2 linked regions of the Danio rerio genome follow. The protein of the gene in region 1 purifies or fractionates together with the protein of each later gene. This does not show direct contact. Links are inferred from orthologs where the notes say so. Each region holds a gene or a part of one and is shown on either strand. Other genes may lie near its edges. The genes, in order: cep97 and sugt1.

Region 1 (16,758 bases):
CCTTTAAAATCGTGTTTTATTAGAGAATAGACCATATGCAAATGACTCATTAGTATTCGTGTTTTTGGACCAATCCTGTGTGTCCTCAGCTGAGTGTGCTTTCGGTCAGGTTTAATCCTTTATATCTCGGCCGTTTTTTCATGTTTTGGTTTACTTTTTTCGGCATTTTAATCGGTATGTTGTGTAGAATAAGTGTTGAGCAAATAAACTGTCATTACTGATCAAAAATATCTCTGTGGGGTTACCGTTTATGAGGAGTGCAGCTGATTTAGTGTGGTAATTTACAATCAGTGAATACAGATCAATGGCCACAAACAGACAAACTGATTCATGCAGTTTATTGGAAATGATAGAGCTGAAGTGGTCATGTCAATGATAATATTAACACATACACATCTCAGTTATGTGTTTTGAATAGCATGAATCAACAGTGTACAATCAATGTACATAATAAAACAGAATAACAGAAAGCACATAAACAGACCAGCAGCAAAATTTTCAGATCAGCCTGGCAAGGTGTGAGCACAATGGCTGGGAGTAAAGAAGATAGAAGGGGCAATGAAACCAATTTAAATGGTTTAAGTTCTGTGAGAGAGTTTGCTGAGGAATTATATACAGTTTACTTAAGGTTTGATGAGGATGATTTTAAGTCAGAAAATGACATTTTAAAACAACATCTGTCATGTAGTAAATCCATAAACATTATTAGGACTCAGGTCAAAAACCTCTTTCAGAGAATTAATACTAAAAAAAGCCCAGGCCCAGATAATATTGGTGGTAAGGTGCTGCATACATGTACTGAACAACTTTCTGAAATATTTAATTGCATTGTTTTCAGTCTCTTATGTTGTAATAATCTCAGTTTATCGTGGACTTGAACACAGACACTTATCCTCCACAATGGCGGCACACAATGGTTCCTGTTTGTTTGTTTAGTGTTTTTTTTTTCTTGATTTCGCAAGACAAGACCGGCAGCTGTAGTTGCCAGAATCACTAAAGGAAAGAAAAACTCAAGTTACAGCCAAAACCAAAGATGACATCAACTGAAAATAAAACTCTAGATAAAAATAATAGTACAAAATAATTAGACAATATAAATGTTCTTTCTGAAGATCTCAGCAGAGATCATTTAACAACTTAAATCAGTGGAGCTTCACTCATTACTGAGCTCAGACTTTTCTGTCATGTGGACAAAACTCTTCATGGAGTTGCTGTTGTTCAGTTGGTCACCATGATGGAGGTCAGCGTCTGCTTTAGTTGGCCTCTTCAGCTGCTTACTTCAACACTAGATTTATTTAGGTAGCCATAAGTCGGTGTGTTGATCACACAATTTGTATGGCACGAGAAGCCTAAAGGAAATTTAGGAATAAATGTAATGAGGTTATTCACTTCTATAGACTCTTACTGTACACTCTAAAAAAGCTGCTGAATAACACCAAAAGTGGTTCTTTGGCTCGTAATGAAAGGGCAACCGGGTGCTTTATAGCAACTTAAGAGATAGATGCTATATAGTACTTTTTATAGAAACTTTTTGGTGCCATATAGCACCTACATTGTTAAAATAATAATAATAAATGGGCATTTTTTTCGTGATTTTGTGGGAAAATACCAGCAGCTCTGGTTTTCAGTAAACAAAACAACAAACATAAACATTTTTTTAGCAATCCTCGATTATAAGTAACTTATCTGCAGCTGTGCTTCCGTTTCTTGGGCACTCAGTAGTGTGGACACTTAAGTGTTCATTTAAAACTGAGCATTTGGCTGTGGGGTTAAAGGGTTAAACCTTCTCCACTTGATTAATCTTATTATAGTCTGGTTCTGGATTGGATTTATACAGATTTGCCTGTATGTCACATCTTCTGCTCCAGCAGTTGGCTTTACAGCAGCACTTCTCATGTATGCAGCCTTGCTCAGCGAGAAGCTTCAACATTTAGTTGTGCTCAGGTGTGAATGCTGTTTTCTGTTTCAAATATGCTGTGATAAACACATTTTATAATTATTAAAGTTATATTGCGGTGAAGCAGAGGGTAACTCTGTCGCCTCACAGCAAGAGGGTCGCAGGCTTGAGTCTCGGTTGGGTCAGTTGGTGTTTCTGTGTGGAGTTTGCATGTTCTCCCCGTGTTGGTGTGTGGTTTCCTCCTGTTTCCCCCACAGTCCAAACACATGCGCTATAGGGAAACTGATCAACTAAACTGGCCGTAGTGTATGAGTGTGTATGGGTGTTTCCCAGTACTGGGTTGCAGCTGGAAGGGCATCCACTTTATCAAACATATGCTGGATAAGTTGGCAGTTCATTCCGCTGTGGTGGCCCCTGATGAATAAAAGAACTACGCTGAAAACAAAATGAATTAACTCTAAGATTACAGCCAGTTCCCCATTTTATCAAGTGAAAAGGTAATAAACGTCACACATGACTGATTTTATCCTACTTAAATGTTTGAAATGTAATGTTGTGCATTACCTTGAGCAGCTGTTTCCCCATGCCGTGTGTCTGCCTGATGCAGTGGTGTTGCTGCTTATGTCTGCTGTACCTCTGCATAAGCACATCACGTTCAGCTGGAGACAGAAATGCTGATCTCTTCATTCAGATGTTGCCATGGTGACTCTTCATATCTGCGCTCCGTCAGTAATGCCTCTCGATAGCTGCGGTGTGCGCGCTTAACTCTGATTCAGTCTACTCAGACTTGATTGACCCATCACAGAGCTCAAGTTTAAACTGAGTTTGTTGAACCTCCTTACTGAAACAGGCCCCAGATCTATTGAGGCGCCGTCTGAACAATGCAGGTTAGTTCCCTCTTGACCATCTCTAGTGTCTGTACAGCTCTGAGCACCGCATTCAGCATTGAGTAAAGCACATAGAGCGTACTGGACACTTTAAACGTATTAAATGACTGATTATTTTCATAATTATGGGATAAAAACACAGAGAGAGAGAGAGAGTCTCCTGCAGCAGACACAGACAAAGCTGCACTCCAGTAAAAGAGCAACTGTACCCTGACACGAGCAGACGCCGCTGGATTGAACACACATCAGAACATTTACTGCAAATAGACTTAAGATGTCTGCGAGCCCAAACCCTGATCAACTCAGCAGCAGGTTCAGAACAGCCGCTCTGTTTACAGTTAGAGTCGAACACTTCCAAACAACAACAACAACAACAACAACAACAATCAGCGGAGTAAGCCACATCCACAGCTGCAGCCGCACACAGGCCCTGACCACTGAAGCGGACAGGGAACAGTGTTCTGATAAACACACAGCATTACTGATCCGGCTAAACACACACACAAACACGCACACACTGAAGGTTAGCAGTGAATCTTTATTAGCACATCAGAGTTTAGCGTTTGCCACCGACGCGAGGAGCGCTGACCTTCATGGGCTTGGCAATCTTCTGTTTCTGAGCTGATTTAGCAGGAGCCTGAAAACACAAACACAACCAATGAAGACACACAACACCTGCACTGAAGACAGAGAGAGAGAGAGAGAGAGAGAGAGAGAGAGAGAGAGAGAGAGACAGACACACACACACAGTAATCTGCAGCTCTTTACCTTGCTGCTCTGGGTCGTCTGCTTCTTGGTGGCCTGCTTGGCTTTCTTCGCCTCCTTTGCAGCCCTAAAGATCAGATGCACAGCAGCGTTAGCTGTAGCAAGTGATTAGTGCGCGCACACACACACACACACACACACACACACACACACACACACATCTATCTATTGGCCCATTTTCACTGAGTGGTACGGTTCGGTTTGGTACGCGTTTATGGCCGTTTCAAAGAAACTTTTTCCTGTCAAAAGGCTTACCGTACCGTACTACTTCTTCTGCACCCTTTCAAAAGAGTACTAAACACGAGAAAGGGTACCAAAAGGCGGCGCTAAACACGCAGCTGAACGCTATTGGTTTACAGAGACTCTTCATTCGCTTGCGCAACAAGCCAGAATGAAAACAAAAAGCCCGCCATGTTTAAAATACACACGTTTTCTTGCTTGTGCTCGCCGCGCGTCTATATCTGAAATAACGAACTTCTTGAGCTGATGAGGATAACGTGCGCTTGATAACTGACGTGCTTTTGAAACCCGATCCTGTCAGACACTGACAAACGCAAGAGCGAATCGCAAAAAAACAAAGAAAACGGGAAAAAGCAGCACATTATTCCTCCAGCAAACGTGAACACACTGCCTTGCTTTATTTTTCATCTTCACCTTCTGGACTAATATGAACACAATGATGGAGTGACTCTAACAGAGGCTGCACACACACACACACACACACACACACACACACGCACGCACGCACACGCACGCACGCACGCACACGCACGCACGCACACGCGCACGCACGCGCACGCGCACACACACGTACACACACGTACACACACGAGAGGTTTGCTCTGACTGTGGGCTGTATTTTGTGTTGTTTTGAACCTAAATAAGGATGAAATGTCTGCTGTGTGTAGTTTATCTGTAGTTGGTAACATATCGGAGACTGTAAGGGTCTGTATGTGTTCATATGTTCATTAATTTATTTATTTTGTATAATTACAGACGTTACAGTAGGCTATTTTGCACTGTCATTGATCTGCAGATATAACCAACTCCTGTCTACAGAAAAGTTTGTAATGAACATTTATACACGTGTGTGTGTGTGTGTGTGTGTGTGTGTGTGTGTGTGTGTGTGTGTGTGTGTGTGTGTGAAGCGTCTGTGTGGTGAGAAATGCTGCTCATATGATATGTGAGCGACCCGTACAGCTTTACTGCAGACATTTCCTCGAGCGAGAATGATGCGACTGAAACTTCCTGTCATTCACCACACCCACCAAAAGGAGACCCTTGGTAATGGAAATGTAAGCCTGATAAAGGTGACCCGTACCAACCCGAACCGTACCGTAAAACGAGGCATAAAAGCAGAACGAGCTCACGCAGCTCTTCACAGATAATGGACATGATGACTGAGGATTCTGCAGTCCTGCAGATCAGTAACCCGTGTAAACGCGTGTTTGGAGTTGGGCTGCTCGTTTATGGGAAAAATCATAATCCCGATTATTTTGGTCATAATTATAATCACGACTATTCAAAACGATTATCAGTTGAAGTCAAAATTATTCATCCTCCTGTGAATTTATTTTTATATATAAATATTTACCAAATTATGTTTAACAGAGGGGGTTTTTAACAGTATTTTCTATAATATTTTTTCTTCTGGAGAAAGGCTTATTTGTTTTGTTTCAGCTACAATAAAAGCAGGTTTGAATATTTTGAAACCTATTTTAATAGCTTGATATTATTAGCCCCTTTAAGCAATATATTTGTTTAATGGTCTGCAGAAGAAAATACTGTTACACAATGACTGGTCTATTTACCCTAATTAAGCCTTTGAATGTCACTTTAAGCTGAATACGAGTATCTTAAAAAACATCTAGTAAAATAGCCTATAATGTGCTGTCATCAGAGCAAAGATAAAACAAATCAGTTATTAGAAATGAGTTCTTAAATCTGTTGTGTGTAAACCGCGCTTTAAGCATCTCCACTGTATTTTTTATTTTATTATTGATTATTAATAAAAACAGTCGGCAGCAGCAGGAATATTGCGCGGTCACTTTAAGAATAGTGCGGCTCTGATACGGTTTCTCTTTCTCGTGTCTTTTGATTCTCAACTTGTTAGTTTATTACACAGATGAGGGTTAATATGAATAATCACTAAACACCGCGCTCTGACACAAGTGTGCATGTGTTTCACCATTAAAGCGCTCGCATTAAGATCGCATTAGATGTGTGTGCTCTGCTGTCCGAGGCTAAGCGCGGCACGTACGCAAACACACACACGCTAGCTATCTGAGGTTAAGCACAGCGCACACACAATAGCACGTACCCTTTTGCGCTTTTAAAAATGTGAATGATGCGCATCCCGTGCTGCACAAGTTACAGTACAGCACATCTTTCAGTCATTTTCACATGGAACTGAGCTTTGCAGAGGCAAAGAGTTTTCACACTTGTACAACTGGAAAGGGTGCGGTACGTGATGGAATAATCGTTTATCTCGATTCACGGCTTTTCATAATCGTTACAAGCCAAAATCAAAATCAGATTTTCGATTAATTGCACAGCCTTAGTTTGGAGATTTCCATGGTGACAGGAGCACCACTACAACTAGCATCAAGCATGACCACTGAATGAAGAGAGAGTGTGTGTGTGTGTGTGTGTGTGTGTGTGTGTCTCACCTGATGGCCTGCTCGCGCTGGGCTTTACGCACTTCAGGCTTCTGGTTCCTCTTGGCCAGAATCTCGGCCAGAGAAGCGCCGGTGATCGCCCGCTGGAACTTTACTGCACGACGTGTGCGCTTCTTCGACACCTCCTCCTGAAGAGCACAACACACACACACACACACAGGTCAGTGTACTTCATTAGAGCAGTGGGGTCTGCTCCATATCTCCAGCACATGACGTCTGCAGCCCTCAGCCTCCTCACAGGAGTACACGTCGCCCTTCACTCGCAGTAAAACACTCTCTGCATGATTCAGTGGAGACGAGAACAGCAGCGGTTGATCATGCTGATATCTGCTATGCTGGCTTCATGTTCTCCTCAGCTGCAGTATATCTCCATAAATCTATGATGTAATGTAAATGTACACAGGAGGAAACACACTCTTCTCCACTCCTGGACTACACTACCCATAATGCACTCTGTCTGAGACTATACACCCCCCGTGCACATGTGCCCGGTGAATAATGTTAATGAACTCACAGACTGGCCCTTCTTGTGCTTGCGGCGGTACAGAACGGTCCAGTTGATCTGCCTCGGGTTCCTCTTGGACAGAAACGCAGACTCACATTTGGCATTGAGGAACTGGAAAACCTGCAGTAGAAGAGCATCTCCATCAGAACACAGCAACATAATCAATAATCAATAATCACACATGGACCCCAGTGACCTGTGCTGAAGCGCTCCATGCTAAACGGCCCTCTGCAGACACGTACAGCTCAGCTATTAAAATCGCGAAAGAGCATGTGCTGTTGTGTGTGTGCACAGCGCTTAGCCTCGGACAGGTAGTGTGTGTGTGTGTGTGTGGGTGTGTTTGTGTAGCCTCGGACAGGAGAGCACACACGCACATCTAACGTCATCTTAACGAGAGCGCTTTAATGGTCAAACACATGCACATTTGTGTCAGAGCGCAGTGTTTAGTGATTATTCATATTAACCCTCATTTGTGTAATAATCAAAACATGTGAGAGAAACCATATCAGAGCCGCACTGATCTTAAAGTGACAGCGTTTCTTTTCTCTTTGACAGACACATAATTATTTTACTTGACATTTTTCAGGACACTAGTATTCAGCTTAAAGTGACATTCAAAGGCTTCACTCGGGTAAACAGGCAACTCATTGTATAACAGGAGGACAATCAAATATATATATATATATTGCCTAAGGGGGATAATAATATTGAGCTTTTAAAAAAGGTTTAAAAATATTCAAACCTGATTTTATCCTAGCCAAAATAAAACAAATAAGCCTTTCCAGGAGAAATATTATAGAAAATCCTGTCAAAATTCCTCCGTTAAACATAATTTGGTAAATATTTATATATAATAAATTAACAGAAGTGCGAATAATTTTGAACTGAAAATCGTTTTGAATAGTCGTGATTATAATTATGACCAAAATAATCATGATTATGATTTTTCCCATAATCGATCAGCCCTAACACACAATCTACAGCGCTCAGCCAAAACACTGGAGGAGTTCCTGAACACATCAGCCAGAGCATGCGGGATTCAGCACTTCACCATCAGCAGCAGGAGGAGGAAGAGGAGGAGATGCTCTTATATTAATAACAACGCGTACCACTAATTCTCTTACACACACACAGATATGTAGACATACATTTGTGTGTGTGTGTGTGTGTGTGTGTGTACACACACAGCTGATCGGCAACAGTCTTCAGCAAACCCGAACCCTAATATAACTCTAGAACAGTAAAGTAACCCATCATGCTGAACTCATAATGACGCTAAATTAGCCAGAGTAACCCAGTGTCTGTGTTAGCATTAGCAGCGGGGCTCGCCATTACTAACCCATCGCTAACTGTAGTTAGCCAACAGTATCGAACTACCCTGATGAATACGAATATTCACATAATAATAATGACAATATTAATAATAATAATGAGGATGATATTAGTGAGCTGCTGGTGTCGGAGTAACTCGGCTTTACCTTTCCGTCAATCCTGGCGTATCGCCGGCCGTGACCGGGATAGATTTTGTATCCGCTAAAACTGCACAGCTCGACCCTGCAGAGCACAAATGAGCGTCATTACAGACACGCCGCGAACATTAATAACTCATAAACACTTTAATCGGCGCATCTGTGAGGTTATATTGCAGATGTTTGGGGATGAACACAGAATACACTCACTTCATGGCGGCGGTTCAGACGGGGAAGAGGAAGAGGAATTGTGGGTAAGCGGTTTATAAAGGAGCCCGTTTCGTTAAAGTAAAATATTTTTTTGAAGTAAACATATATTTGACATAGGAATGAACCCTACTATTCTGTAAAAATATCCAAAAATATAAATATTTTCAGATTAAATCATCCAATGAAATCTGCGCTCGGTTGCCTGGCGGTGACACAAGCGGGAAGTATGGCGGCGACCGGAGCGGGGATGGCGGATCCGGTGCTGCAGATGCCGAATCACAGAGGTACGGCAATATCAGCCAATAATATTGCAATAATCCACGAGTTTGACTAAGCGGAGACTTTAAACCGCAGTGTTTTTCTGCAGACCGGCGATGTGTGCGGATTACCGAGTTTAACGGGGCGTGTGGGGTTCCGCCGTGTGTGTGTGTTTGTGTGTTTGTGTGTGTAAACTCCGTCATTCACTGATCACTGATCCGCTGCTCTCCACACACCTGCGGGAAAGCGTTTATTGGCTTGGTGTGTGTGTGTGTGTGTTACTGATGTGTGATCGATGATCTTCCTGATCGCTGTAGTGATCAATACTCCACAGCCGTGTTTATTCTGCGCTGTTCTCTTTCAGGTCCGGGGGTTTTAGACCTGTCGGCTCGGGGTCTGCAGCGGCTGGAGCCTCAGCTGTTCCGCCCGGATTCACACACACACACCCTGATCCTGGATCAGAACCAGCTGATGAAGCTGGAGCACCTGGAGCACAACCCCGACCTGCAGCAGGTGTGTGTGTGTGTGTGTGTGTGTGTGTGTGTGTGTGTGTGTTTGATGAACTATAGCAGCGTCTGATGGAGAAGATGAAGATAGAATGTGAGGATTCAGCAAACACGACACACTCTTAGTGCACTCAGTAGTGCTCCACCACACACTCACTTCACTCACTCCTCTAAGTGCACTACTGTAGTGAGTAAGGGTACAGGGGGTGATGTGATTTTGAAAACAGTGTGTGTGTTCAGCTGTGCTCGCAGTGATGTACGTGTGTGTGTGTGTGTTCAGCTGTCGGTGGCCTGTAACCGTCTGGTGCGCATGATGAACGTCTGCAGACTCACGCAGCTGCGGGTCCTGGACCTGCAGAATAACAGCATCGGCTGCATCGAGGGCCTGAAGGAGCTGCAGCAGCTGGAGCGCCTCAACCTGGCCGGGAACAACATCAAGGTGAGTGTGTGTCTGCAGCGGAGTTCACCTGAGCATACGGTCACACACACACACACACTCCTGCTCTGCTGTTTGTGCAGGTGATGGAGCAGCTACACCACTGCGTCTCCCTGCAGCACCTCGACCTGTCTGATAATAATATCTCGCAGATCGGAGACGTGTCCAGGCTCTCGGCGCTGCAGGTGAGTCCGCCGCCGCTCTGAATGATGATGATGATGAGGATGATGATGAGTGTACAGTAATATCCTGCTCACACACACTGCAGACGCTGCTCCTGCACGGAAACATCATCACCACACTGCGCTCGGCTCCTGCTCACCTGCCGGCACACCTGAGAGTGCTGTCGCTGGCGGAGAACGAGATCCGGGACCTGACTGAGGTACACACACACACACACACACAAACACACACACACATTCAGGCTCACACTGCCTCCTCCTGTGCGGTTCTGCATGTGAGTGTAGGCAGATGTCTGACCTGACCTCGCTGCACAGCTGAGGATGCAGATCTGTCCTGATGTGTGTGTGTGTGTGTGTGTGTGTGTGTGCAGGTCTGCTATCTGGCTCCGGTGCGGGGTCTGCAGCAGCTCTCCCTCCTCAGTAACCCGTGTGTGTCGTGTGTGTCCTCCGCTGTGTGTGATTATCGGCCATATGTGCTCAGCTGGTGCCTCGGCCTGGAGCTGCTAGATGGAGTCGCCGTCACACAGAAGGAAGGGTGAGTGGAGCTCGAGGAGGAGGAGGAAGAGTGCTCATTATTCAGTGTTCATGCTGTGATGACGTGCTGCAGTTTCTGATCTGTGCGTGTGCGTGCATGTGTGTGCATGTGTGTGCGTGTGTGTGTGCGTGTGCGCGTGTGTGTGTGTGTGTGTGCGTGCATGTGTGTGCGTGTGCGCGTGTGTGTGTGTGTGTTTGTGTGTGTGTGTGTGTGTGCGTGCATGTGTGTGCGCGCGTGTGTGCGTGCTTGCGTGTGTGTATGTGTGTGCGTGCGTGTGTGTGCGCGCGCGTGTGTGTGCGCGCGTGCGTGTGTGTGCGCGCATGTGTGTGTGCGTGTGTGTGTGTGTGTGTGTGTGTGTGTGCAGGCTGAAGGCGGAGTGGCTGTACAGTCAGGGCAGAGGGCGAGTGTTTCGTCCGGGCGAGCACACTCAGCTGCTGCAGTATCTGTCCCGCACGTGTCCCGCCGCCGCCCGGCAGCCCCCAGCAGAGGACGCCAAACTGGAGAAGATCCTCAACAAACAACGGTAGAGTCCAGACCAGCAGCACCGGCACCGCTCATAGCAGCACCGCTCACTGTGTGTGTGTGTGTGTGTGTGTGTGTGTGTGTGTGTGTGTGTGTGCAGGCATCATCAGAATCAGCTGCAGCATACACATCACCAGACTCCCTCTCGCCCCACACACCTGGACGTGCAGCAGCTCCACCAGAGCACACCTGATGAAGATGAGGAGGATGAAGGTGATGATGTAATCGCTCAGGCTGCTGTGTGTAAGATGCGGGTTTCTGTGCTGGTGTGTTTCCTATTCCCAGTGGTAAAGCACAGTACAGATGAGTGCGTGTGTGTGTGTGTGTGTGTGTTCTGCTGATGTTTGTGTGTGTGTGTGTGTGTGTGTGTGTGTGTGTGTGTGTTCTGCTGATGTTTGTGTGTGTGTGTGTGTGTGTGTGTGTGTTCTGCTGATGTTTGTGTGTGTGTGTGTGTGTGTGTGTGTGTGTGTGTGTGTGTGTGTGTGTGTGTGTGTGTGTGTGTGGTGCAGATGTGGAGCCTGCAGTTCGGGTGAACGCGTGGATGGACTCTGTGTCTCCACCCTTGGCCGCTCCTCCCCCCTCCGCTCCTCCCCCCGCTGTGGCTGCAGACGGGCTGCTCCTGCAGGATCTGGAGGCCCCGGGGCCGCTGGCGTCTGAATCTGCCGCTCCTCCGGCTTCAGCTCCTGACAGCGGAGAGGAGGAGTTTGAGGACTCTCTGGCTCCTCCCACATCCACTCAGCACCGTGCCCCAGGGGAGGAGCCAGTGTGTGGGGGCGTGTCCTCAGAGCATCAGCAGTGTGAGCCGCAGGACGCCGCCGTGAGGATCCAGAGCTGGTGGAGGGGCCAGTGGACTCGCCAGCGCCACCCGCAGGCCAGAGCGGTGCGTGCAGAGATACGCATGCGGAGGATGCAGGACCACATCATACACCTGAGCACACAGCTGGACAGGTGAACTGTTTGTGTGTGTGTGTGTGTGTGTGTGTGTGTGTGTGTGTGTGTGTGTGTGTGTGTGTGTGTGTACTTGTGAGGTAAAGTGGAATGAAGAGCGCTAGAGGTCAGAGGTCGGCTCATCTCTGCTCCGAGAATTGAAGATGACTCTAGTTGAGATCAAGCACAGCGTGAACTGAAGAGTGTGTGTGTGTGTGACTGCTTTGTTTCAGGGTCCGCCGGCAGCAAGAAGAAGAGCGACTGCAGAGACGTGTTCAAGAAGAAGCAGTGAAGGTTCTGTGGAAACAGGTCAGTGAAAAACACACACATAAACACACACAGACACACACACACACACACTCACACACACATAAACACACACAGACACACACACACACACACACACTCACACACACACACACACACACATAAACACACACAGACACACACACACACACACACACACTCACACACACACACACACACACACATAAACACACACACACACACACACACTCACATAAACACACACACACGCTGAACATCTGCTTCTCCAGCTGCAGGTGTTGTTGCAGTGGCAGGCGTCTGTGGACCAGCGGCTTAACACAACACACACTCCTGCGCTCAACAAGACACACACTCCTGCCGACAGCGCAGCACACACTCCTGCAGACAGTAGCACTGACACACACACACACGCTGATCTCTCGGTGCCGGAGTGCGGTTCTCCGTGTGTGAACAGCAGCGCCGCCTCTGGAGACGCGCAGAACTGCAGTCTGCTGGAGCAGTACCTGAGCTCCGTCCAGCAGCAGGACGAGGAGGAGCGCGCCGCACACGACCTCTGACCTCTGACCTGACCGCACCGAGGCATTATGGGATGTTGAAGGTCTCTGCCCTCGTCAGCAGTCGTGTATGATTAAACATCAGTTTTCTGCCAGTTCTCTTCAGTGCTGCTGACGGAGGCTCCCTAAGAAGTGCTGATGCTGTCTGAGTGCACTTACTGGTGCACATCTCTCCTTCACAGCCTGCAGCTGTAGATGAAGACGCCGCCGTGGAGTAATGTCAATGTGTTGGTCATCTGCTGCAGTTCAACCCCGCAGAGAGTTTAGCAGGCTTCAGTGTGTGTGTGTGTGTGTGTGTGTGTGTGTGTGTGTGTGAGCGCGCTCGGCATGTGCTGCAGCAGTCTTCAGTTGAGTGTTTTGTATGTCAGATGTTTTACAAATCATTTTTGTAAATAAAGTTTTAATTTCCTTCACCGCTGTGTGTGTGTGTGTGTGTGTGTGTGTGTGTGTGTGTGTGTGTGTGTGTGTGTGTGTGTGTGTGTGTGTGTTTATTTCCATCAGGAAGATTGGTCTAACACAGTGGTTCTCAAACTGTGGTACGTATACCACTAGTGGTACGCGGGCTTCCTTCTAGTGGTACGTGGAGGGATGCAATATGGCATGTACATGCTACATATATTTCCAAATTTATCAAAAATGATGTATATAGTATGCCATACATGACATACAGCCTATATTTCTGAGGTATTTTGCCACATTTTTTTAACTGTGCAGAGTTGTAGCTGCTTTACTGGGCCTACTACACTACTGTATTTCAATACTGCTCATTTTGGTGGTACTTGGAGAGACTATTTTTTTCTGAGGTGGAACTTAATGAAAACAATTTGAGAACCACTGGTCTAACACATTATTGTTCCCTCATGTGGATTATTCAGTGTGCAGAAATACACAGTATATGTTATAAACACTGAGCTGATGTTGATACTCCGAATGCCGCTAGATGGCGCTCTCCGTGTTCCTGCAGTGTGTGTGTGTGTGCGTGTGTGTGTGTGTGTGTGTGTGTGTGTGTTCGTGTGTTTGTGTGTATAATGTTGATTGTTTTCTCCTGCCCTGTGGGTTATCTGGCTCCTCTGTGGACCTTTAATAAACCCTCAGCAGGTTCTGCTCAGGGCCCTGTTTCAGTAAGGAGGTTCATAGCGGATCTGAGTTGGGTCAATCAACTTTGAGTAGAGCGCGCGCACCGTGACTATAACCAGGCATTATCAATGGAGCGCAGATATTACGAGTGACCATGGCAAGATCTTAAGAAAAGAGATCAGCATTTCTTTCTCCAGCTGAACTTGATGTGCTCATGCATAGTTATAGCAAATATGAGCGAATATTTTGAAAAGCAACACCACTGCATCAGTCAAACAGAGACAGCATGGGGAAACAGCAGCTTGAGTTAATGCACATTTTTACATTTCAAGTATTTAAATATTTAAGTTGAATAAGATAAGTAATGTAATGTGTGACGTTTATAAAATCATCACACACGTTCCCACTTTTATACATGTTGATCAGTTTAATAGATTTAACAGTGCACTTGTGTGTCTGCCTTCTTATTGATGCAGTGATAGAGGCTGATATGACATTTAGAATGTGCAGAACTAATGCTAATTAATCTAAGCTACTTGTCCCTGCTGAAGGTCAGTCAATTTAAGCTTTATTCATTAAAAAATGACAAGCCATTCTCGTACGTGACTTTGTTCTTTGTGTGACTGTAATGGCAATAGCTGTGTTTCCGTCCAATAATATTAATTCAATTTATGCGCAAAACTGGAATATCGCTTAAAGATTTGTGCGAATAAAGCAGAGTTTCCATCCAACGAGTCAAAGAACAAAACCGTCACTTCCTGATTAAACGAGCACCAAATATCAACAGTAAAGCAGAATTTACTAGAAGCTGCGGCAGCCTCAATCTTACTTTTAATAAACACACTTGCGCCTCAGAACACAATGAACACGAGGGGGCGCTTGAAGCCATGAGACGCGGAGGACAGACGCTCCTGACACGCTCCAGACGCTCTGGAGGTCATTAACAATATAATACCATTAATACTGAAACAGTTCAGGATTTTTAGAATGAATGAGCAAAACAACATTTCAGATGTGTTACAGTGTGCTCAGCCATTCACACACATTTTCATTATCAAATAACAAACCTTTTTAATGCACATACTGTAATTTGTTCAGTAAAAGTGTTTCCATCGAAGTTTATGCGCATCTTTTCTAGCGAATAAATGTTTATCCTACTCATTTATGTGTATGTTTTTATGTGTATTTTTCAAAGTTATGTGCATCATAACGTTTCCATAAATCGTTTTATGCGCATATACAAAATGAGCATCAATATAGGTGTGTGGAAACGCAAGACTAAGGCGAGAAATACCGCTTTATCTTTAAAAAAGAGAAGAGACCGACAGAAACTCTAAGTTTAGAGAATAAAACCTGCTCCTGGCCAGGTTAGGTTCACAGAATAAGTTTCCACAGTAACTGACTCTGAGTTAAAGTGACCTCTCCTTCAGAAACAGGTTGACTTACCCTGCTGTCTCCAGTTTAACAAACCTGCCATTTTGAAACGGAAAACCCAGAGTTTCTCTTACTTAACCTCCTTTCTGAAACAGGCCCCTGGTCTGAGAGCAGAAGTCGCCTCGTGAATTATTCTGTATCGTGTAAACACCTGGACGTAATGACGTGTGTCTGGGGCGTCTCTCTAGCTCATGACGTCACGTACGTTTAAAACCCCCAGCGGAGCTCCAGTTCGTCATTCAGAGCAGCAGCAGCAGCAGCAGCAGAAGATGATCATCGACCGAGTTTCTGACGGGTTTTCGGGTCTGCTGGACCGGGACGCGGATCTGATAAGTCCGGTGCAGCTGTGGGGCTTCCCCGGCTGCAGTTCCCCCACAGAGCCGCTGCTGTCCCCGGGAGAGCCCAGCTCCGACTCCGAGCACAGCTGGAGCGACGCCAGCGGTAAGGCAATATTGACATTATTAGCGTTCATTACTGTCTACTGAAGCTGCTGCTCCTGAATAACACAGCAGACACACGGGAAAACCCCGAGAATAGCTGCAGGGTTACAGGGCTTTGTGTTGGTCCAGTAAAACTGTTGTGTTGTGGCCGGCGGACGGGGAATGTCCCGAAACCCGCCAGAAACCGTCAGATAAAACTGTTTATTTACCATTTTGAGGAATGTAAAACACAACAACAGTCCCAGTGTAGCTCTGATTTGACATCTGTAATTTCTAGAGCTTCCGAGAATCTAAAAAGAGCCACATGTTGATCAATAATGTTATGACGAGAGCTGCTTTAACATCAAGTTATGACTGAGTTTCCTCTTATTGCTGACTGAAGTACAGAAAACAAGCAGGAAACGCGCATGCGCTGATGACGTCACCATGCTGAAATGGTCGATAGTGAGAGCCAAACATGTTAGACTGCCTGTAGTGTGTGTGTGATGTGTAGTTTGACCAGGTACAGCAGGTGTGGTGGTGTATTATTGGCTGCTCAGTATCAGGTGTGTGTGTGTGTGTGTTTGTGCGCAGTGGAGGCGGAGGGCACACGCAGGAGCCGCTATCAGGGTGTGCGCGTCAAGAACACGGTGAAGGAACTGATCATGCGCAGAAAACACCTACACACACAGGTACACACCTGCACACACAGATACACACCTGCACACACAGATGTGTTTATGACATGTTTATGACACACACTGACTGATCACTGCTCTCAGGTGCAGCAGCAGCAGTTCGCCGTCGATGACGAGTGCGCAGGTAACAGAGCCGACCGCCTGTTAGCAGTCCAGGAAGTAGTTTGTCCTAAATGACTGAGGTGTTGTCTGTGTGTGTCTGTGTGTGTGTTTGCAGTGCTGCAGAGCAGGAAGAGGACAGCAGAGAGTGTGTGTTTCTCTGCTGTGAAGCGCGCGCGAGCCACTGACGGATACACACCGGTACAGTTACTGAATTACTGAGTCTGCTTCAGTCTGCACACACTGAGTAATGATTAAACCGCTCAGATAACAATAACACGGTGTGTGTGTGTGTGTGTGTGTGTGTGTGTGTGTGTGTGTGTGTGTGTGTGGACAGATGGAGTGTGTGTCCAGTGACTGTGATCTGCTGGAGGATCTCGGGGTTTTTCTGGCTCCGCCTCTCTCCGTGGGC
Region 2 (14,372 bases), about 29 Mb from region 1:
CCATAAATATTGGCACATCATCACAATTCTAACATTTTTGGCTCTATACGCCAAGACAATGGATTTGAAATGAAACAAACAAGATGTGCTCTAACTGCAGACTGTCAGCTTTAATTTGAGGGTATTTACCTCAATTGGTGATCAATTTACCCAAAGCAGCTAAATGGTGTAGGAATTACAACACTGCAGATGTGCCTCCCACTTGTTAAGGGACCAAAAGTAATGGGACAGAATAATAATGATGATCCTTTGCAGTAAATAATAACCTGAAGTTTGTAGCGCATAGACATCATGAGATGCTAGGTTTCTTCCCTGATGATGCTCTATCGAGTCTCTACTACTGCAACTGTCTTGAGTTGCTGCATGCTCAATTGGATTCAGGTCAGATGATTGACTTGGCCATTGCATAAAATTCCACTTTTTTTCCCTTCAAAAATTCTTTGGTTGTTTTTAAAGTATGCACTGTGAAGCGCCATCCAATGAGTTTTGAAGCATTAGTACATATAGTACATAATACTCCATTTCCTTCTTTAAAGATGCCAGAGAGCTTACACTTGTGATCTATAAAATTTAGCATATGAAAAAATAAGATTAATCATTTCAAAATGAAACTGCCTTTCTCCAAAACACCAAACAATATAGACTTCTAAAAATATATAAAGTGACAATCGATATTTTGTAGAATAAAATCGCAGACATCTTGCTAAAATTGCTTAACAACAGGACAATGTAAAAACAAATGTATCACAGTTCAGGGCAACTGGCACTAAAAGAGCAATTAAAGTCAATGGTCAGATTTAAATTTAATCAACTAATTTTTAGCTTGGTATATCCTGTGCATAGTTTTGAATGATACTTCCATTATCTCAATTGTAATTAAATATTGATTAGCTGTTGACCATGCCTTTTTCCAACCAATATTAGCTGCGTCCCAAATGGCACACTATACACTATGCACTCATGCACTATGTACTTATGCACTTACACACTCAACAGGATAGTATATGTATGTAGTGTCGTCCCAAATGGCACACTTATGTATTTTTACTAAGCGGAAATTCAAACCGTTTCCCTGATGACGTTTGACTGTTGCCAAATCAGTGAAATAAACAACTGAATTATCAAGTAATACCTGCCGTGAGTATTGCTGCATTCACCATCGGGAGGCGCTATAATCACTCTCGTAGGAGAATTTTGCTTTCACCATCCAAAATAAATAGTTATTCAACATATGCGTCCGATTGCTCCGCCCCTTCCGCTACGTAAGCAAACCTGCGGTCGTTCAGTGCGTGAAGTGTCCATCATTACACACTTCATTTTAGCGGCTGAATGAGTCTTGCTGCACTGATGTGTGATTTAACAGAAAAAAAACATATACTACCTTTTTATATTAAGCAGAAACAACTGAAGGTTGTTTTTGTCTGATGCTTAAATAACACAGACTTCAAGATAAATATCCTCAAAAACTTTGTCATAATTCCCTGATGTTACAGGAATCTTGTAATGTGCCAGACATTCATTATAAGTCAACAGAAAATCATTTAAATTAAATAACTGACCCATTATTATGATGTCATCATTATTATAGAAGGAATACTGGAAAAATTGGTTCCAAGACATCATAGCCATAAGCTCATAATTAGCCAAATTTAGGTATACCCCAGATGTTCTTGTAAATTGGTTACAGACATTCAACAGACATTTAACTGACTATAAGAAACATTGTAAGTATATATCAACTTATTTTACACTAACCCCAACCTGACGGTCTACTTATAATATAATGAGAGTTAGTTAGCATGTAGATGCAATGTAACTTAAATTCAACAAATAGACCATCAAAATAAAGTGTGATCGTGTCATCTGTTAATCATGGATTTTTATCTCTCTGTCAGCAATCGTAATACCTCTTATTGGGCTTGAGTTAATATAAGAGAAAAGAAGCTGACTTACAGTAAGAGGTATGGAGATACTAAGCACCCGTCTAATCACTTTAGAAATATCATATTTTGGGGAGGTACCATTAGATAACTTCATAGAAAAGTTGCCATTTTTAGAAAGGGTTTATTTACTGTAGAGCAGGGGTGTCAAACTCAATTCCTGGAGGGCCGAAGCCCTGCACAGTATAGTTCCAACCCTGCTCCAACACACTTACCTGTAGGTTTCAAACAAGCCTAAAGGACTCTATTAGTTTGAGCAGGAGTGTTTAATTAGGGTTGAAACTAAACTGTGCAGAGCTGCGGCCCTTTTGGAACGGAGTTTGACACCTGTGATGTAGAAAAAAAATGACCCAAATCTAATTTCCTTAACGTAGCAAGGATAAACTGATATTCTACAGAATCAAATGATGTACAAAAGTGTAAAAATAATATAAAATTCATTAATCATGTAAAAATCATTAATCAACTTTGAATATTCCAAAATAATCAAACCTTTGTTATTATTCATAAATTCTGATTGTGATTTATCAATTACTAAATCTAACAATAGTTTTAATCTTTTAGCTACAATTAAGGCCAACAACTTTGTCATTACTTTAATTATCATTTTACATCAAAATTAGTTTTTTTTTTTTTTGTTTAATATTTGTTAATTAACTTAAAAGATTTAATCTTGTTGAATGGTGAGAAAATATTGTTTAAATTTAAGTCATTACAAAATGACAGAGTTCTACTTATTTTTAGATAATGAAATTGTATTTAAATAATGACTAAAGTCTTTAATCCTAAAATAAACAGGAAAGGAAACCAAAACAAGAATTTGATTTAGTGGAGACAGATTTATAGTAGCCATATATTATTTTATTTCTCACTTTTTTGTACACTTTTTTTTTTTCCTTTGACAATGCATGTAATTGATATTTTGTGTACTGTATACAAATATTATTTACATGTCAGCTCTTTATTAGCACGAAACGAACTTTACAGTCCATGGTTTTGAAAAATAAAGGTAATTGACTTAATTGTGTGGAAGCACGTTTTGACAATCAACAGATTTTCTTTGGCTCCGAAGCAATTTTATTTTGAACAGGTTAAAGATTCAAGTATTTTTGAAGATTTTAACAGATTTGTGTGTGTTGAGCATCAGTTAAGACAACGTTAGCAACTGTTAGCTTTAATTTTGTAGAAAACTGGATTAGTTGGAGCTTTTGTCAACTAATTTCATCTTCCGTGTTTAAAATCATTTTTGGGGCGGGATCAAAATCAGTGATGTAGCACAAATTACAGATTACAGAATTACAAATCTAGTTTTAATTTGGGAAATGCTTTAGATATATGTGGGTGCGGGAGTTTTGTGCATTATAAACTGATTACAAATCAGATTACAAATGAATGTCCTGTTCATTTTAATTAAAAAAATCTTGGATAAAGCATCTCTTCTTTTTCCATTTGTCCATATATTGCTAATATATTTTCTAATACTTCTATACTTTATTTTAATTGAATTTATAGAGCCAAATTAAATATGTTTAGACACAATGCATTTATAAAGTAATATGCTTCGTTAAATTACATTCAGCCATCATGCTTTAGCTGCCATATGCATTTGTCAAAAATCTGTAGGTAAGTGTAGTGTAATTACTTGGCTATTTAACATCAGGAGTGCAACGGTTCAATCTGCTCATGGTTCGGTATCTATCATGGTTAGGCTTCACACATGACTTAAGATTTGCATGTTCTCTCTATAATTAAAAAAGTAGAACATTTTGAAAATTGGATATTTAAATAAAATCTTTTTAAAAAATAGAAAAAAGCCTTTTTCTGTTTTACACATTGACTCAACTGTCTCAATCACTTATGCAAATAATAATAATAATAATAATAATAATAATAATAATAATAATAATAATAGTTTCAACAAATCTTAATAATTGAGCACTTTTAAAGTATTGACTGCTTCTGCTGGGTCTGGTATTTTAAGTGTTGAGATAAGGAATGGCCACATAACAAAGTGGTTAATATATATTTTTTTAATCATGAGAAACACAGTAAGTAATGTTTGTTGTATTGCAATGCTATATAAGTCAAAGTAAATTTAGAAATTACACTTCTTTCTTTTTTATTTGTGTTTTCCATACTGTGCCAACTTTTTCTGATTTGGGTTTTTACATCATAGTCTTCTGATGGGCTAAGCAAAGAATCTGATCATGTGTAACATTCTAGGACAATGATATCTGTCATGTATAGTAATATTTACTGCTTGCCAATTCACAATACTTTAAAAAAGTTAAATATTTTAAATGACAGGCCTAATGTTCTTTTTGTCATTGTTTTTGAAGAATTGCGGAGTATCACCTACATAACTTTGTCGCTGCTCATCAGGCCCTCACAGCAGGAAGAGACCTTGACAGTGAGTTAATTTTTTTTCAAGTATGGAGTGTAAAGGTAATGCGACACCACATTAATTTGATGGAAATGTGATATACTGGCTTATTATATTGTAGCTATGATAAAGTGTCAATTTGTGTGTATATAATTGTATATTTGTGTGAGCCACAATGACAGAAGTCACAATGAGACAGATAAAAACTATATATTTTCACATAATCTGGTCCATGTTGTTAATTAGGAGGTCAACTAAAAGCACAAGTGGTTTCACTTTCTCTAGAGAGCTCTATTGTTTATATTTTAAACAACTTTTTGTAAGTTTTAACATTTCAGAGACCATAAGGCTCAGTATATGTTTTTTTATTTTTTTTATTTTGTATAATCTCAGATGTTACAGTAAGCTATTTCACATTATCATCTGCAGCTATATTCAAATCATGGTTACAAAATGGTCTGAAATTAACATTCATACATAAGTATTTATGTATATAAAGCATTTTAAGAAGTGCTTCTCATATGATATTTGAACTTCAAGCTAGAATGACCTCGACTGCCACTTTCTGTCATATACCATGCCAACCAAAAGGGTGCCAGTGGATTACTGTAAAAAAACAAGGCTTCATTAGCATTCACACTAATCAAGAAGTCTATCTGGGAAGAGATATTCTGAACAGTCCTCACTTAAGCATGCAGTAAGTCACCAAGTGGGCGATGTGTGTATTCACAGTTAAATGTTAAACCTAAAGTGTGGGAAGAATGATCAGAAAGAACAATTGCATTAAAATGCAATGCTTAACTAGAGAAAGCTTATTTTCAATTAAAAAAATGATAATAATCTGGGAGAAAGATTGATGGGCATGGGAAAAAAGAATAACCATGCAAAGAAGGATTGAAGAAATGCTAGTCATCAGTGAGAAAGTTACTTTCTTAGAAAGTCTACCAGTTTTTGGGTTTAGGCAGATATTAAAGACACTCCCAATAATTAAATAGATAAAATGTACATTTGGTAATACAGAAAAAAAAATCTATCTTATCTACAGCTAAGTTAGGTGTATAGACCAGCTGTCAAAATTTGATTGATTGCTTCTGGTCTAAGCCCCGCCCCTTTAAGCCAACTTTATACTTCCAGTAATTAGATTCTTATCAATTATATATATTATAATTCCAGTTGTTCAAATTGTAATCAGATTAATGAAACTATAATGCAGGTCATTTTAAGCTATTCAATTAGTTATTAGATCTGTTATTATATTTTAATTATTTATTTAAAATTATTATAATTCTATTATTTTGAATAAACTATTTACTATGTTATATTATAATTAATAAACGCATATAAACATTTGTTTCTGTTTATACTAAAAAGATACCATGCATGAGAATACTGCAGTTTAACTGTATCTGAAGCAAATATTATTGGCACTTAAATGTATAACATTCATTCATTGGTGCCTTTAATTGATGCTGTTGAATTTAAAAGATGTCATTGCAAAATTAGTTTATATTAATTATATATTAATTACATTTTGATATGTATTTGTCATACAAAGGTTCTGTTGAAGAATTTCAAACATGGATGCAGCACTGTGAAACTGAAATGGCGAGTATGTATAACGTAAATTTTTTTTTTTAATTCAATATTAGTTCGGGGATTGTGTGTATGTGTATGTCTAATACAATAGTTTTCTGATTTTTTAGCACACATTCCAAACAAAACTTCAGATTTGGTAAGTGTCTGTTTACTGTCTTTATCTATATGTAACTGGAAAAGAAATATACAGTATTATGCTAGTGCTTTAATTTTATTGCCTGGTTTTTATCATCTTAATTTAAAGAAACACAACGAACCCTTAATTGAGAAAACTGAGTAATTTGATACATGAGATCAGTTGTTTTTGTTAAACGATGTGCTGTTGATGAATTTTAATTGTTAGAATATTTTTTTAAATATAGAAAAGTGGTATTTATAAAATGTTGTAAACTTGATCAGTTTTTTTTTTGCCATGACCTAGCCAAAGAAGCTGAAATGGCAATAAACTCTCTCTCTCTCTCTCTCTCTCTCTCTCTCTGTCTCTCTCTCTCTCTCAAACAATGATTTGTGCTTTTTTTTTATTATTTTCCCTCTGTTTCTGCTGAAATGCACTTACAACTGACTGTTTAAACAACAGCAAACTACAACCCATGTCAAGTAAGTATGGTGGTGTAATAATTTTATTTTAAATTCTTTGTGTTTAGTAGTACAAATATAGAATAAAATTGCATCACATTTAATGAATTTCTGCTTCATTCAGACATGATTGGTACCAGACAGAGTCTCAAGTTGCAGTTACCATCATGGTAAAAAATGCCAAGAAGGAGGGTGTGATTGTCAGCTTTGGCGAAAGGGAGGTAATGTTTCTCTCCTTTTTCATGTCATCAATGATTATGCGCTGTACATAGTTAAGGTTGAGAGGTGGACATCATGGTATATAAATAAAGCTTTTTAACTAATATAATAAGCAGCCATGTGGCTGGTAGGGTATACATATACGGTGACATATGCATAAATTGACATAAACATACAAGTGCACATTCCAGGTAAATGAAATGTCTGTAAAAGGCAAGTGTATAAGAAAACTAACCTGTCTCTTCTTGGTTTGGTAGCTTCGAAAAATTTAATATAAAGCAAAAATATGAGTTTATATAAAATGGGGTGATTACAAGTCTAATCAGTAGGGCTGGAACGCTACACCAAAGTCACAGTTTGGTATGTTCCCTGCTTTTGGGGTCACATTTTGATAAGAGTTTAGTAAAACAGTAGGGCTGCACCATTGACCCTTTGCTAATCTACACCCAAAAACCGCCACCCACCAATCGTGGCTTAGCAACTGTAGCTACACGCAGGGGCTCTGTCAAGCTTTCGAGTGAGTGCATATGGATTGTGCAAATCTGATACCTGGTATCCCTAAAGTTTGGTCAGGATGGTGGAATTTTTTCCCTTTTCAAAACCAAAAACCCAAGAGGAGAAATGCCAGCGTGGATCAAGCTCTGTGAGGGGCACTAAGCGGAGTTAAGTTGGTTTTGTTTTGATATTTCTGACACAATAAGTGATAGAACCACGGCAATAACTCACACACCTCTTACCCTAAACAGACCTAAACTGTGTTTCCTACAAAAATACAAAGCAGGTTATGTTTCCCAGCTGTCTTTTTCTTTTTTTTTTTCGCTCTATATTATGAGCACTGCTCCGTTTAAGGCTTCGCCATAGTAACTTAGTCATACTAATAGCGATTAGGTCATGAGTTATTGATCCGGAAAATGCAAATCTGTTGCTAACTTTACTTAACTTCATATTTCCATCTATTTCAAGCTACGAATATTTGAAATTACAAATCAACAGAACAAAACCGAGATATAATCACAAACTGAGCACTTGCGATCAATATACTTTACCAGCAGCTGTTTTTCAATATTTTATAATAAGTACACAAACATACTGACAGCTATAGATAACTCACTGTACATTGTTATGGGTCAATGATGCTAATATTTAGCACAAATCCTTGAGTTTCCCCTTTCTGGCTGTTCTTTCTATGTATATACTATGTAAAAGCACTATCATGCGTGTTTCCTCGTTGGTTAGTAATGGTATATTTCATTGCACAAAAATTAATCTATCAGGCTTTTTGGCTAAAAATAGAGAAATCACGGTTTAATTTGTTATTATGGGATTATTTTTAAATTTCACCTCTACTGCCGAGTATGAACTAAGCTGTTGAATGGTTAGAGTATGAGGCGGCTAGGTTAAGCTAGCTTCAGTTTTGATTAAATTATTCTCTAATCGGTTGCCTTTTATGTGGTGAATATACCCCTGAAATGCATACTGCAGTCCTTTTTTGTCTGGCTTTCTCGGACATCTCACCTGTTCGCCAAAAATTACATTATATCCCTGGCAATGTCTGACAGCGGCGCATACACATTGTAACAGCCGTGCCAGGCATGATAGCTTGTCAGGCGTAGCAACAGTAACTAAGGAGGTCTGGGCTTAGCGAAGAGTCAAATTGTAGATAAATTTGAATTGCGATTGATCTGATCAATATTGAGATTTAAAATATGATTTGCAACAATTTCTTTAAAAGAGCTACAGGTTTGATGTGGTGGTTTTAACATCACCAAAGAAAGACCAAGCATAACCACAAAGTATTATACACTATGCTAATGTTTATTTAAAACCTCTTAATATACATCTCTATTTCCTTATTATATTTTTCTGAAAAATGTCACCAATCACTTTTTTTTTTCCTGGAACGTTAGTGGACTTGCCTCCCAGACAAAAAGTATCAAAGTTTTAAAAGAGCCCATATTATACATGAAATAGAGTCATATCTTGGTTGTAAGGGTCTCCAACAACAGTCTAATATGCATGCAAGGTCAAAAAACACTTTCATGGTCTTATAATCTGTATTTATTTTTACCTAATTGTCCCAGCGACTCCTGTATGAATCGTCCAGTGATTCATTTGTTCCCAAACCCCTCCTTAGCGCGAAGCTAATCTGCGCTGATTGGACCGATGACAGCCTGTTGCGATTGGTTGACTGCCTTCAGTCAGAGTGAAAAGCCAAACAGCTAATCAGCAATATAAAAGTAATCACAGTTCATACACGCTCGATAGTGTAGGCGTGGATTTTAGCTGCCAGTGGGTCAATGTAAATACAGTCGATGGACTTGAAAATTCAAACGACTATTTTATTGAGCAAAAACTCCAAAAACTGTCGAGGAGATCACATAGCTTGTCTCACTCTGCCCTTTTTACAGACACACACACATACACACACATTGCCCTCGTCCTTGCGTGCGCACGCACACACAAAAACACACACACACACACACACACACACACACACCTCAGGACGACAGCGAACGCGCACATACACACTACCCTCGTCCACGGAGCTCCGTAAACAAAGCAGCACGCGTCGCGTTTTTAACGTGACTTTGCACGCGATAAGAGAATATAGCCAGTTAACCTGATACAGTACACGCGGTTACAAGTAACAAATCACAACTAAATACATTTGCAAGCTAGAGTCAACGAGGCAACAACTTTAATCGCACGTACTTACACTTGAGAAATGGAGGAAGAAACCCATCCTGACGTCCATCAGTAAGTTACTCTTTACTGATCCTTCCTTTAACAAACGCCGATAAAGTATTCTTTGTAGCATGTAGTTTGCAGAAGTTTCCAGTAGTTTCCAACTGCTTGGTTATAATACTGAGGTTTCATCTTTGGCGAAACGCCTAATGACTCGGTATCAAGGCGACTCGTTTGAAGCGCTATGAGTCGACTCTTTTATAGATGAATCAACCGTTTTAAACACTGTACTCTTACAGATTTAAGCCTTAGCTGGATACTTTACTTCACTTAGAGCTGTGTTACACACTACATGGAGGGGAATTTTCAAAAACCCATAATATGGGCTCTTTAATCAATTAATTACAAGCAGACATGCCGAAACGATCATAACATCTGATCATAACATAATTAAATCATCACAGTACAATCATTCTAAAATTCTCTCCACATCATCTTCAGCCATCATCATTACTAAAAGACTAACATCACGCAGCTTCACACTACACTGGAGAACTAGATACACTCTCTCTATCTCTATTTATCATTTTTATTGTACCACTGTAAACATTTAAACATTAATGCACACCATAAAATTAGTCTCTACACTGATGATGTATTATTATATTTACGAAATCCTCAAACATCTTTACAAAATACAAATAAACTTAATGATACGTTTTCAGATATTTCTGAATACTCAATCAACTGGAGTAAATCTGCTATACTTCCATTAAATTCCACCAGTGTGGATGTGACATCCCAAACATCACTAATCCATCAATGTTTCCCCCAGGCTGTCAGAGTTGTTTTGACTTAACTATACTTAAAAAAGATCATTTTCAACATTGAATGAATCCATTATGGGCGGAATATCTGTAACTAAAATGTGTATGTTCCTCAAAATAAACTATTTATTTTCAAAGATTACAGCACAACCCACTCGTACCATGTTTAAATTTTTAAAACCGTAAAAATCCCAAATCCCAAAATCCCAGAGTTAAAAGGTTATAAAAAAAAAAAACACATTGAGGTCTACTTTCTGGCAATTCTGATGTAAAGCATACAGTGGGTACGTAAAATATTCAGACCCCCTTAATTTTTTCTCTCTGTTCTATTGCAGCCATTTGCTAAAATCATTTTAAGTTCTTTTTTCCCCTCAATGTACACACAACATAAAATTGACATAAAAACAGTGTTTTTGCAGATAAAAAAAAAAAAGAAAAACTGAAACATCATATGGTCCTAAGCAAAAGTTCCTCTCTTTCAAAATTATTATTAATATTGTCATTTTAATGTTGTTGTCTTTATTATTATTTTTTTTTTACAATTATTATTATTATTATTATTATTGTTATTATTAATATTATTGTTATTATTACTATTACAACTACTACTACGTGCACAAACAAACATACAGTTGAAGTCAGAATTATTAGCCCCCCTGAATTATTAATGCCCCTGTTTATTTTTTCCCCCCAATTTCTGTTTAACGGAGGGAAGATTGTTTCAGCACATTTCTAAACGTAACAGTTTAAACTTATTTCTGATAACTGATATATTTTATTTTTGCCATCAGGTCAGTAAATAATATTTTACTAGATATTTTTAAAGACACTTCTATACAGCTTAAATTGATTAATTAGTTAATTAGGTTAACTATGTTGGTTAGGGCAGTGGTTCTCAAACTGTGGTACGCGTACCACTAGTGGTACGCGGGCTTCCTCCTAGTGGTACGTGGAGGAGCTGGATAATGAAAGAAACAATTAACACTTTTAATCCTTTGATGCGTAATATAACATTGATGTGATCAGCATTGGCTATTTTGTGAAGCGTACGATCACAACGCTGTGCTTAGAATGTTTATTTTAGAGCATTGTGTCAAAAGCTGCTGTAAATCAATTTAAGAATTGACTCTGAAGCTTGATTTGACTGACATGAAAAGTAGCCAATCACAGTCGACCTTGTCTAGTTGCGTAAAAAGTAAGGGCGGGACAAATGTTTTCTGTGTTGCAGAGACAGAAAAACAACTTTAAAACAAATGTTTTGTTGGAATAATGCTTGTCGGATGTTTTCACTATAGCGATGTCTAGCAGAGTAATTAAACCGCGGACATATTTTCTGCCATTTTGATGATCTACATACACGTTTCGGTCTCCGACAGCCAGTCGACTCGCCTCTGACCTGTCACTCCTCTAAATACATTCTGAATGGCAGCGCGGGAATGGAGGTATTCCGCAATAACTCATTTCTGCTAATGTGGCGAGTGCTTTATTTTAACACGAAAGCGCATTCATGTACGCAAATCGCTAAAACAGATATGCGAGCTCTTAATAAATAGGCTTTTTTTCAAATGAACTGCAAGTGCTCTCATGACCGCCTGTGTGCTCAGATTAAATACAATCGCGATCTTTCCACTATTAAAGTAGACATTATTTATCTTTGCTCCTTGACTCAATTTAGTCAAAAGTATTCAAAGTTATCAAGTATTTAGAAATAGATTGATGCATGATCGATGACAATGCTAATGGTCTTCTTATTCGGCTGTGTTGTGAAGTGAAACTTACTTTTAGCTAAGGTGGAATTTTTTTTATTCTTTTACAACAAAAGAATTATGCTGGAAATGTTTCTGGATGAGGTATTTGTGTGATCTGATCTGTCTTAAAGCATTACAGGTCAAAGCAATCCGTTGTTACTTATTGTTTATTTATCCAAATTAACAATAAGGCTCTTAAAGCACTACTTTGATAAATGTATTGTTGTCATATTTCAAATACCTCAAGTAAAATAAAGTAATTTATTTTATTTTTTACTGACAGTGTACTTGTATTTTTTTACGTTTCTATTTTAGATTAAGATCAAGTGTAAAATAAAATCTACATGTGATGTACAGCTATTTAAGAAACAAATTTGCCATATTGTAAAGAAAAACAGTGTAACAAATGTAAATAAAAGGCTAAATTTAAATCTTTTTACCATATACTTTAATTTAACCTTTCAAAGCTTTAAAATATTGTTTAAAAAATGGGCAAAAAGTGTCTCTATGGCCTTAAAGATTATTTGATTAAATATTATTATTAATGATTTTTATTTGTATCTATTCCTATGCAATGTTTTATGGGTTGCTAAGAATACATTTCAGGTCTTCAATACATAGCATGTCAGTCTTGAAAAAAAAAAAAAGTGCCGGAATTGATTTTCATTAGGCTGTGCCTGTATGAACCCTGTTATATGTACATTTAACATATATTTCAAGATTTGTCTGAAAGTGTAGGAATATGACATATAGCCTATATTTATAAGGTCCAAGCAACATTTCCAGCTTTTGATGAATAGGCTACTATGAATACTTTAGATTTAAGTACAGCAGTTTTCTTTTTACTGTTTAAGAACAGGCCATTTTTTTATGAACTTTTAAAACCACATTTTAACTAAAACTTTTTTTACACAGTTAATGTTCAGACTATTTAAAATGTTTAAAGTGACTGACAATAATACATATTCTTAATAATAGGAATTAATTTGCATCATTTTTAAACTGTGCACACCTGCAGCTGCTTAATTAGGCCTACGACGCTATTTTTAATACTGGTTAAAAAAATTGCGTCATAAGGTGGTACTTGGAGAGACAATTTTTTTCTAAGGTGGTACTTGGTGAAAAAAGTTTGAGAACCACTGGGTTAGGGTAATTGGGCAAGTTATTGTATAACAATGGCTTGTTCTGTAGACTATTGAAAAAAAAAATTCTTAAAGGGGCGAATCATTTTGCCCCAAAAATGTTTTTAAAAAAATTAAAAACTGCTTTTATTCTTGCTGAAATAAAGACTTTCTCCAAAAGAAAAAATGTTATCAAACATACTGTGAAAATTTACTTTCTCTGTTAAACATCATTTGGGATATATATATTAGAGAGAAAAAAAAATCAAAAGGGGGCTAATAATTCTGACTTAAACTGTGTATATATACCGTTACACCCCTACAAGTGATTCTTTTTATGAGTGGAAATTTAAATAAGGTTACACATGCAGCACATTCGAATTACAAAATGTAGGTTTTGGTGTGGTCAGGACATCATTTGCTTAAACCATCCTATGAAACAAACTTTATTTAAATGAATTTAAACTTCTTTTTATTATGGTGTAAATCATTTATCCAATCGACTTTGTGTTGCTGTGGACCCAAGAAAGTACAGTAAGAGTTCATTTTACTGCTATATAAACACACAACATTAGACTTAATGAGCCTTTAATAAACTGCTGAACAGCATAGACTGGAAGTAGTGCGTCTTACGTGGTCAAGGCTTATATGCTCCGAGAACCCAAAATAATTTTACAAAGCTGAATAAGTCTGTCAATACATTTTAAAAAACAATTAAGAAACGATTCACTCCCAAATCATAAATAAGCAGCAAGCAATTAATGCAGTGACAAGGCACAAGTATTAAAAATAAAGTTTAGTAAATTCTATTAAATTAAAAAATGGTAACATTAACTTCAATTACAGAATTTAAAAAAGCTGGAATAAAATCATAAATAAATTCCGTTTTATTGAATAAAAAGAACTAAAATGATATAAAAGGGAACACCTTGCTGGCAAGACAGAACACGCTAAAACGAACAATTTTTTTTTTCTTAAGTCAGTTTTTAATTTAATCACAATCAGTTTGCTTACAGTTTTCTTACTTTGTCTATCTACTCTCTTTTTCATCCTGAGTGTGAGGAAGATTTTCAACAACCTAGTCAGCTTTTGAGTGAATGTAAAGCTAAATAAGTGGGGCTCCAAAACATTATAAATAATCTTAATCCCCTGACAACATCTAAATTGGTTTGTAAATTATATAACATTTAAATTTAGATCATTAATAACCTAATCATTATATATGCTTCTAAGTTAGAAATACAGCATTTAAAAACTGCATTTAATAATGTCTATTA

What was found.
Region 2: the proteins of cep97 (region 1) and sugt1 purify together in Homo sapiens (affinity purification with mass spectrometry; 3 studies listed by BioGRID and IntAct, with this or other methods). This does not show direct contact. The link is inferred for Danio rerio from reciprocal best matches to the Homo sapiens genes CEP97 and SUGT1.

The regions. Positions count from the first base shown.
Region 1 is NC_133176.1:193,755-210,512, forward strand, and holds cep97 (centrosomal protein of 97 kDa), read left to right. Parts: upstream 1-8,627; 5' UTR 8,628-8,637; coding exon 8,638-8,695; intron 8,696-9,033; coding exon 9,034-9,182; intron 9,183-9,455; coding exon 9,456-9,614; intron 9,615-9,694; coding exon 9,695-9,796; intron 9,797-9,879; coding exon 9,880-9,993; intron 9,994-10,164; coding exon 10,165-10,328; intron 10,329-10,692; coding exon 10,693-10,851; intron 10,852-10,950; coding exon 10,951-11,063; coding exon of another isoform or gene 11,064-11,093; exon of another isoform or gene 11,094-11,116; intron 11,117-11,359; coding exon 11,360-11,798; intron 11,799-12,010; coding exon 12,011-12,086; intron 12,087-12,334; coding exon 12,335-12,622; 3' UTR 12,623-13,032; downstream 13,033-16,758. Other genes in the region: rpl24 (large ribosomal subunit protein eL24), read right to left, coding at 3,341-3,421, 3,553-3,616, 6,219-6,355, 6,742-6,852, 8,211-8,286, 8,412-8,416; nfkbiz (NF-kappa-B inhibitor zeta), read left to right, coding at 15,322-15,571, 16,144-16,241, 16,332-16,371, 16,465-16,547, 16,684-16,758. UniProt on the Homo sapiens protein: Acts as a key negative regulator of ciliogenesis in collaboration with CCP110 by capping the mother centriole thereby preventing cilia formation. Required for recruitment of CCP110 to the centrosome.
Region 2 is NC_133176.1:29,649,817-29,664,188, forward strand, and holds part of sugt1 (protein SGT1 homolog), read left to right. Parts: intron 1-4,279; coding exon 4,280-4,350; intron 4,351-5,878; coding exon 5,879-5,932; intron 5,933-6,026; coding exon 6,027-6,055; intron 6,056-6,496; coding exon 6,497-6,516; intron 6,517-6,619; coding exon 6,620-6,716; intron 6,717-14,372. UniProt on the Homo sapiens protein: May play a role in ubiquitination and subsequent proteasomal degradation of target proteins.